Linked DNA regions of Nothobranchius furzeri. The protein of the gene in region 2 purifies or fractionates together with the protein of the main gene of each other region. This does not show direct contact. Links are inferred from orthologs where the notes say so. Each region holds a gene or a part of one and is shown on either strand. Other genes may lie near its edges.

Region 1 (4,194 bases), on a different chromosome or scaffold from region 2:
GCGCAAAAATATACTTGTTTTCAATTACATTTATTGGGCCCACTTACTTTTTCTTAGGCCCACCCACAAATGAGTTTCTACAATAATGGTGACATATGACAGACTTCTCTGAGCTCCGCAGCCATTACACTTTTCACCTCGCGCACCCCCTAGCGGCAGCTCGCGCACCCCCAGGGGTGCGTGCACCACACTTTGGAAATCCCTGCTCTAGATGAAGAACCTACAAATTCTGAAAAATCTCAAGCATTGTTTATGCAAGAAGCTGCTGTCACTCAGGATTTGGCACAGAAGCTGACTGACAGCATCAGTGAACTGCAGACAGCTTCAAAAAAAGAGGAAATGCTGCAAGTACTGATTATTTGCTAACTAATAACTGTTTCCATTAAATGTGTTTATGGAATGGTTGTAAACCTTATAAAATACTTGTACTTCAGTAAAACATGTCAAACAATAACAATGAATCCACAAACAAACAAACAAACAAACCTTCTAACACCACAACTAAATCATAAAATATTAAACTCACTGGAACCCTGCTGAAGGGAGTGTGGACACATAAGTGCCAACCACACCCACATGTTTTGGACATGCAACAGAATAAAACCATTTTAGGATCAAAAATCTATTGAAATGACAAAATTATTTGGATATAAAATACCCCAAAATGAGATGATTTTAATGTTTTGTAACTTAACTGAGAATGTGGTCAAGAGAAAGGACTATCTCTGTAAAATTTTGTTAATTGCTGGTAAAAAAACAATAACCAGAACCACCAACCCTGGAACAGTGAGAGGAGACAGTGAACAATATACGATGGAACGGATCACTTTTTAGTTGAGACTGAGGGGAGAACTCTTTTTTTTAATGGGGAAAAATGGACCTCCTATCTTCAAGGGACATAGGATGCTAAAGGTAAAAATATAACTGGTTATAGGATAGAATTGGCAAAGCCCCAAGCAACTGTTTTATATTCACCCATACATTTTATTGTCATTTTTTCAATTTTGCCCTATATGGTTCTCCTTCTTTTCTTTAGTTTGTTTTTCTACCAACACAGATTTTTGTTGTATATGTTGATTAAATAAGAAAGACAAATAAATAAAAAGTAAAAAAAAAAAAAAGAAAAGAAAAAAAAGAGGAAATGCTGCAAGTATTGATTATTTGCTAACTGATAACTATTTCCATTAAACGTGTGGAATGGAATGGTTGTAAACCTTATAAAATACTTGTACTTCAGTAAAACATGTAAAAAAATAACAAAGAATCCACAACAAACAAAAACTCACTCACTCACTCACTCACTCACTTTCAGTTAAAGACTTTTGACTAAACGTTTTTACCAGCCAGATATAAAAGTTCCGTCTTATTTTGAAAAGCTCAGTCTACCGGAAACAGGAAGGCGAATAGCAGTAGCTGTTCTAAAGCTAAAACGCTAACTTCTCCGAGAGCAATTTTCTTAGCTTTTACTACCCGCTGTTTCATTTTTATTATCAAGAGGGGTCTACTTTATCTTAATTCCCTAAAGGTACGGTGATAGTTGAAGGTATTTTACGTTTCAGCACGTAAATTGGCTCTGCGTAGCTTAATAACAGGCCGGAATAATAAGCAGTCGACACATTTCGTAGGCCTAAAAATGAACAATTAATATTTGTGGTTCTCTTAGGTCACAAGTTAACGTGCTGCTGTAACAAGTGTGACAACTTTTAACTTTTTGCAGATAATGGCTGCGGACTGGTTAGGTAGTTTAGTGTCCATTAATTGTGGCCCAACGCTTGGGGTGTATCAAGGAGAAGTATCATCAGTGGACCAGTCAAGCCAAACCATCTCTCTAAGGCAGCCTTTTCACAACGGAGTCAAATGTCCAGTTCCCGAGGTCACATTCAGGTAAACACGGGTCTTTTCCACTGTTAGTAACTTTGTGTGATTTGCAGTTTCTAGTAACTATTGATACAATAGTTTGATTGTTTTTCCAGTGCCATTGATATAAGGGAGCTAAAGATTTTAGACATCAGAAGTGGTAATGCAAGGAGAACCTCTACTACAGCTACAAACGTGCACAGTGTTCCGGTGGCAGTCCCAAAGGGTGACCCCAGAGCTGTTGAGAAATTAAACTCTCCCCAGCAATGCTCTAAAAGTTACGGAGAGCGTCATCTAGATGCTCTGGGCCAACCCAAAGGGTTTCGTCGAAGACATAACTCATGTAAGGGCCATTTGTTCGGCGATCAAATAACTAAACAAAAAATCAATTTCTGTGGCATGATACTAATGGTTGAAGTTTTTCTAATCTCACCAGGGTCATCTAGTAGTCGAGGACCAAACCAAGCAACACCTAAAAAGAATGGAGTGAAGAACGGTCAGATGAAGCACAGAGACGATGAGTGTTTTGGGGACGGCATGGAGGATGACCTGGACACGGATTTTGACTTCGAAGGGAATCTTGCCCTTTTTGACAAAGCAGCAGTTTTCTCAGAGATTGACACATCAGAGCGGCGTAACGGGGCACGGTCACGGGGCACTCCTCAAGACCAGACACCCTCACGGTACCGCCATGATGAGAACATATTGGAGGGCAAACCAGTCGTTTACAGACAGATTATTGTACCTCAGCCTGGGGCCAAAGAGTACTGTACTGGTATGTGCTTAACATTGTAAATGGTATTATATGATAGTGTTTGGGTTTAAACTGGTTGACACCTTTCTCTATTACTTTCTACAGATTCTGGACTTGTTGTACCAAGTATTTCCTATGAACTCCACAAGCGGCTGTTGTCTGCTGCTGAGCGTCACGGCCTCTCACTGGAGCGAAGACTTGAGATGACTGGAGTGTGTGCCAGTCAGATGGCACTTACACTGTTAGGAGGGCCCAACAGGTAAATGTGTAAAGATGAAGACTAACTTCTAAATCACCTTAGAAATAAGGAAAGTTTTGAGTCAATTTCAGCACTTAAATTATTCGAGTAACTTAAATGAGCTAATTACAGATACTTCATTGGTTGTCATGACTGTGGTTTCCTCTGTGTCGACATGTTTAATTGGGACTGACATGCTGAGGCAGCCCGAAAAGTGGCTTCACTTTTTAATAATGGAGAAAAGCAAAGATTTTTTTATGCATGACTAAGGCCGACTCTGGTATAAATGATGGATGAAACAGACCAAACGGTTTTGGATCAATCAATCAATCAATACTTTATTAATCCCAGAGGTAAATTAGAGTTTCAGTATGCACAATTCAGAGATCAGACATACAGGTTGGTAGGTCGGGTTTTCACAGCATCTGTCTGCATTCCTTCATGGGGGTTTTTAGTTGCTTGCAGTTCAAGGCTACCAGGGCGTCAGATTCGGATAACAAGAATTTGTTTGGGTCAGGCTGATATAATTTTCCTCTTTGCCTTCAGTCTTTTAAACTGATCATTCCAGTCCTTCAGTGAAGCCAATTTTGGGTTTTTAAGCTTGTCCATACCGTCTGGTAACTCTCCGAGATGACGTCCATTTTGCACACTAATACCGGTATCGCAGCTAGAACATTGTCCAGCTTATGATTCACCTCGAGTAACGTCCCAGTCTGAGAAGTCTCCACACGTACGGTGCTTTCCGTGGGTGCAGGTCACCCTCCAACCGCTCCCGTCTTCCCAAATTTCCAGAAAACCAGATATCCTCCCACTCCAATCAGGAGAAATCCAGTGATCATCAGGCCGAATATCCACACGTCTTCGATATCCTCAATCGACAGCTGGGAGAGGCATATGATCTTCCACTCCTTCCGGGAATCCAACATATATCCCACTGGGTGTGTCCCCTGTGGACATGTGGGAGCCCCCCTACTCCGTTCTCAATGTTGAAAAAATCTTATCGATCGCATTGAATGACCAATTTATCAAATCCATGGTTAGTTAACAGTTTTTCAGAAGAAATGCAGAGAAGCGCTCTGTGGGCAGACAGGACAAAGAGCCTTGGGGAAAAAAAGATAAGGGAGCAAAAGAGGGAAGCGTCTGTACTCCTCGAGTGCCTGAAGAATCAGACATAAAGAAGATCAAACATAAAAAAGCATCAAACTTTTGAGTAAAAGATTGGGAACAACCTGCGTGATGCATGTAGCTGCAGCACTAGTCGCTTGTGTACCCTTTTGTTTTTGTTTCCTCAGGTATGTTCTGAGGTGTAGTTTCCAATGTTTCCTCTTTTCGATGTTAATGCAGG
Region 2 (4,070 bases):
GCGGAGGGGGGGGTCTGGTATGCGTTTGCATTGTTGTGTGCGTTCAGGTGGATCTGAGGAATCAGGAGGAAGCAGAGTTGTGGAGCAGAGGTGGGTGCAGACGTGAATAGACCGAGGTAAGTCCAGTGTTTCTCTAGGTAATGACTGGTTTGCTGCCGGAGCCATGAGGTCGTCTGGTTGCTAATGACATTGGAGTAGTGGTGATGGTGGTGGCTGTAAAAGGCGTGGGCTTTACTGATCTATGCCCAGGAGAGCAGAAACAACAAAGAGCCTCGCACAAAAGTACAGAACAGATTCAAGTATTCTCAGGTCTCCCTAGATAATTTCACAGAAGGCACTTATTTAACTCCAGCATCTCGTCCAACGCCTCCGCTCTTCCCGCTCCGCTGTGACAAAAACGGAGCTGGGAAGTGAACAGGGTGTTGAGAGATTACATAACTCGGACTGTCCGCCCGCTGTTGCACAGAACAGCCTCGACTTGCGCCCTGCGGGCTCCCGGACACCCGCTGCCTGGACCAGAGTCCAGCCAGGACCGTGCCACGGCATCGATGCGACTCAGCAGGAGCGGGTTCGGTCTGCCAGACTGGAACCACAAAGTGACGGTCGGCGACGGCCTCCAGCACGTGTAGTTCCTTACACTTTCTCTGGCTCGGGCGTGGGAACGCCCCTCTCTCTCGCCCCGTTTTGAGCTCATTACATCAAGTCTTTTGGAATAGCCTCTGTGGTTTGCCGTCATCACCGGGCCACTGCCACGGGGGTGGGCGTGAAGGCGGTGGGCTCGTGGCCGATGCTGTGCAGCCTGATCTCGGTGGTCGTCTTCTCCGTCTGCGCCGTGGACGGCATTACGGAGGAGGGGGAGGTGTTCTGCATCCACGAGTGGTTAACGATGTCCTCCAGGGACGGGCGGTCAGCGGGCCGCAGAGACAGGCACCACTTAATCAGCTGCTGGCATTCTGGGAGGACAAAAGAGGAAACCAATTAGTCCACAAGTTCACAGCGCATGAAGGAAACAAGATATTCCACCCGGCATGAGCTCACCAGGAGAGACCCTCCTTCGGAAAAGAATGTGTGCCTTCGTGATCTCCTCGTCGTGCTCGAACGGGATGTCCCCGCACACCATGTCGTACAGCAGGACACCCAGGGACCAGATGGTAGCAGATCGCCCGTGGTACCGATGATATCTGATCCACTCTGGGGGGCTGTACACTCTGGTACCTGTCAGACAAAAACACACAGATACACATTAGGGTAGAAATAAAACGGTGCAGGTGTATTTACACACGAACAGCAGCCGGTTAGTGAAAATAAAAGCCCTGCAGGGGCAGATACAGATAGCAGCCGGGCTTGTTTGCTAGGCTTTTATCTGGACTCAGGTGCCAGGCTGCGTGACTGGCAGTGTTTGTGTGAGGGGGGGGAGGGGGGAGCAGACATGTGACTTTGTTTACAAACTTTGAGTTGTAAAAATGCCACTTCCGGCCAATAGGGGGCGACAGAATCTGTGTGTCAGAAATGACACAACCCAGGAATTTCTACTCAAGACCACACACACACACGCGCGCACGCACACACACACGGAAAACAAACACGAAATCTCACCGTCAAAGTCCGTGTAAACGGTGTCTTTCAGCAGCGCTCCCGAGCCGAAGTCGATGAGCTTCATCTCGCCGGTGCGGAGGTCGATGAGGATGTTCTCGTCCTTGATGTCGCGGTGCACCACCCCGCAGTTGTGGCAGTGCCGCACAGCCTCCAGCACCTGGCGGAAAAAGCTGCGCGCCAGCTCCTCCGGCAGCGCGCCCTTCTCGGTGATGAAGTCGAACAGGTCCTTGACGTTCTCGGGCCTCTCCATGACGATGATGAAGCTGTCCGGTCGCTCGAACCAGTCCAGCATCTTGATGACGCCGCGGAAGCCCGTGCCCACCTTCTTCAGCAGCACGATCTCCATGGGAACCCGGGAGCCGTTGGGCTGAAAGAACCGTGAAAACCGCTCGTTAGGTCGCAGAAAACGCGCCGAAACGGCGTCTACCTTCGACGTGAATCACACCAAATCACCAAAAACGATTAAAGACGGACTCCGCCGCTTCTAGAGGAATGTGTACAAAATGTCTCTTACCAGATCTCCCCACTCGGTGACCCTGTCCTTGGCGACGTGTTTGACAGCGACCTGAACGAGAAGCAGCCCCGGTTAGACGGAACGAACACAACAGCACAGGCATGAGAAAGGCTGGTTTAACGGAGGAAAACAGGATGTACTGACCGGAGTCCCGTCGGAAACCCTCGTACCGGAGTACACGGTGCCGAAGCCGCCGCTGCCCATCACGGCACCGACCTGATAAAGCTTCTCGAAAGGCTCCTTCTCCTTCACTGCGAACACACAAAAACCGGTAAACATCCCTTTAGGAAGACGGTGTTGGCCTGAGACCGGTAAATATGCGTGCAGCCGCGTTAGCTGCTGCAGCCCCGGTCCTCCGGGAAGGCACTGAGGGCGTCTAACCTTGTTGAACCTGGAGCTTCACCGGCATGTCTACGTTAGAGATGTGGGCCAGCTTAGACAGCAGCATTCCGGTAACCGAATCCACCACGGCGGGTTGGTTCAAACGGCTCCTCCTCGGTGTTCTAGTCCGGGCAGCTCGACTCTCCCGCGCTGTTGGGAAGCTTTCAGTCCACGTTGCGAGTAGAACAAAATGCGGCAAATCCTTTCATCCAGGGGGGGAAAGAGGGCAAATCCGCCGCGTGGTCCAGATAAATAAAAATAAATAATAAAAATGTCGACTCGGTGGCTGGACGCGAGTTCTCTCACAGCAACGAACGGGTCGTTCCCGGTGGTGTTTGTAAACAGAGGAGGAGAATAAACCCGCAAAGACACAACAGACGACCGCCTCAGCCAGACACCGGCTCCTGGAAACAAAAAGCAGGGGGAGGACGGCTATAAGGCAGTAGTAAGAGGGCGTGGCCTACGCGATGACGTTTATGCCGCGCGCCCGCCTCTTTCCGCTCTCTAAACCAATAGGAATCCAGGTTCGCTTTCGGAACCGTTCGAATCTCACGTCAATCAGCGAACGAACCCAGACACAAGGTTTCAACCGGCCGGCCCAGACAGACGTGGCGGGAATCGAAACGCGCCAAAAAGGGTTGGAATAAAGCATAATTCTGGATTCATGTTGGAGGGAAATGCAAATTCAAAGCCAAGCGCCACTGTTGGAAAGGAGAAGACGCTAGGAGGACAATACAAAACACCAGCCTTGCACAGTTCTATTTATTTATTTCAGCAACTTTATTAATTTTATTGTAACTACATTAATATTAATTTTAATAAGTGTTTGCAGTTTTAAATCACCTAAAGAAACAAATGTCAGCGGCACAGCGATCATATCACACACTGATGCGTATTAATATAATTATTCATCTTTAAAGTCAGAATTGCATGCATGCGTTTACTCATACGTGTCTCATATTTGACTACGGGGAGCTTCCTGCTGCTTTCAAAGTCACAATTTGACTCGGAAACCAGGATTTGTTTTCCCGCATCAAGTGACACGTGCAACTCTGAGAGCACTTCATCATGTTCGGCTCCGTCTGTTCTTGCAGCCCGCCGTTTACCTGATTATTTTCGCGTTAAACACTGCAGCTTACTGGCAGCAGTGCTCTGCAGAGCCCGGGATTGCGCTCTATTGAAGACGCCTTTAGACTGGGTGCGCATCAAAGCGGCGCAGGGGGAGAAAATGCGCATTCCACGCATTCTTTCAAATTGGGTGGCCGCGTTTGCAGCAGTTCACAGGATGTGGGAAACCAGAGATAAAAAGACTTCTTTTGCCCCTCCGCCCTCCCTTTCCCGCGCATGTTATTGTCTGAGTGGCTTGCTCCTTCCCCCTTCTCCTGCTTAACTTACTTTTTGTTTTCTTTTGGAATTAAGTAGTAAATCGTCATGTATTGCATTCCACAATCTGCTAAAGCGAAAGCAGGATTCAAACTAGACGTAGGGGCGTGACTTTTAATTATCAGGTAGACTGTAATAAGAAAATAGACTTTGTTATTCCCATTAACATAATTTGTTTACATGCACATTCAAATTT

Evidence for each region.
Region 1: the proteins of pim1 (region 2) and edc3 purify together in Homo sapiens (affinity purification with mass spectrometry; 3 studies listed by BioGRID and IntAct, counting the BioPlex papers as one, with this or other methods). This does not show direct contact. The link is inferred for Nothobranchius furzeri from reciprocal best matches to the Homo sapiens genes PIM1 and EDC3.

Annotation. Positions count from the first base shown.
Region 1 is NC_091744.1:58,994,394-58,998,587, reverse strand, and holds the start of edc3 (enhancer of mRNA-decapping protein 3), read left to right. Parts: upstream 1-1,384; 5' UTR 1,385-1,525; intron 1,526-1,717; 5' UTR 1,718-1,720; coding exon 1,721-1,884; intron 1,885-1,956; coding exon of another isoform or gene 1,957-1,973; coding exon 1,974-2,200; intron 2,201-2,293; coding exon 2,294-2,632; intron 2,633-2,716; coding exon 2,717-2,870; intron 2,871-4,194. UniProt on the Homo sapiens protein: Binds single-stranded RNA. Involved in the process of mRNA degradation and in the positive regulation of mRNA decapping. May play a role in spermiogenesis and oogenesis.
Region 2 is NC_091755.1:49,180,547-49,184,616, reverse strand, and holds pim1 (serine/threonine-protein kinase pim-1), read right to left. Parts: upstream 2,789-4,070; 5' UTR 2,559-2,788; coding exon 2,492-2,558; intron 2,362-2,491; coding exon 2,255-2,361; intron 2,162-2,254; coding exon 2,111-2,161; intron 1,964-2,110; coding exon 1,597-1,963; intron 1,216-1,596; coding exon 1,039-1,215; intron 954-1,038; coding exon 736-953; 3' UTR 509-735; downstream 1-508. UniProt on the Homo sapiens protein: Proto-oncogene with serine/threonine kinase activity involved in cell survival and cell proliferation and thus providing a selective advantage in tumorigenesis.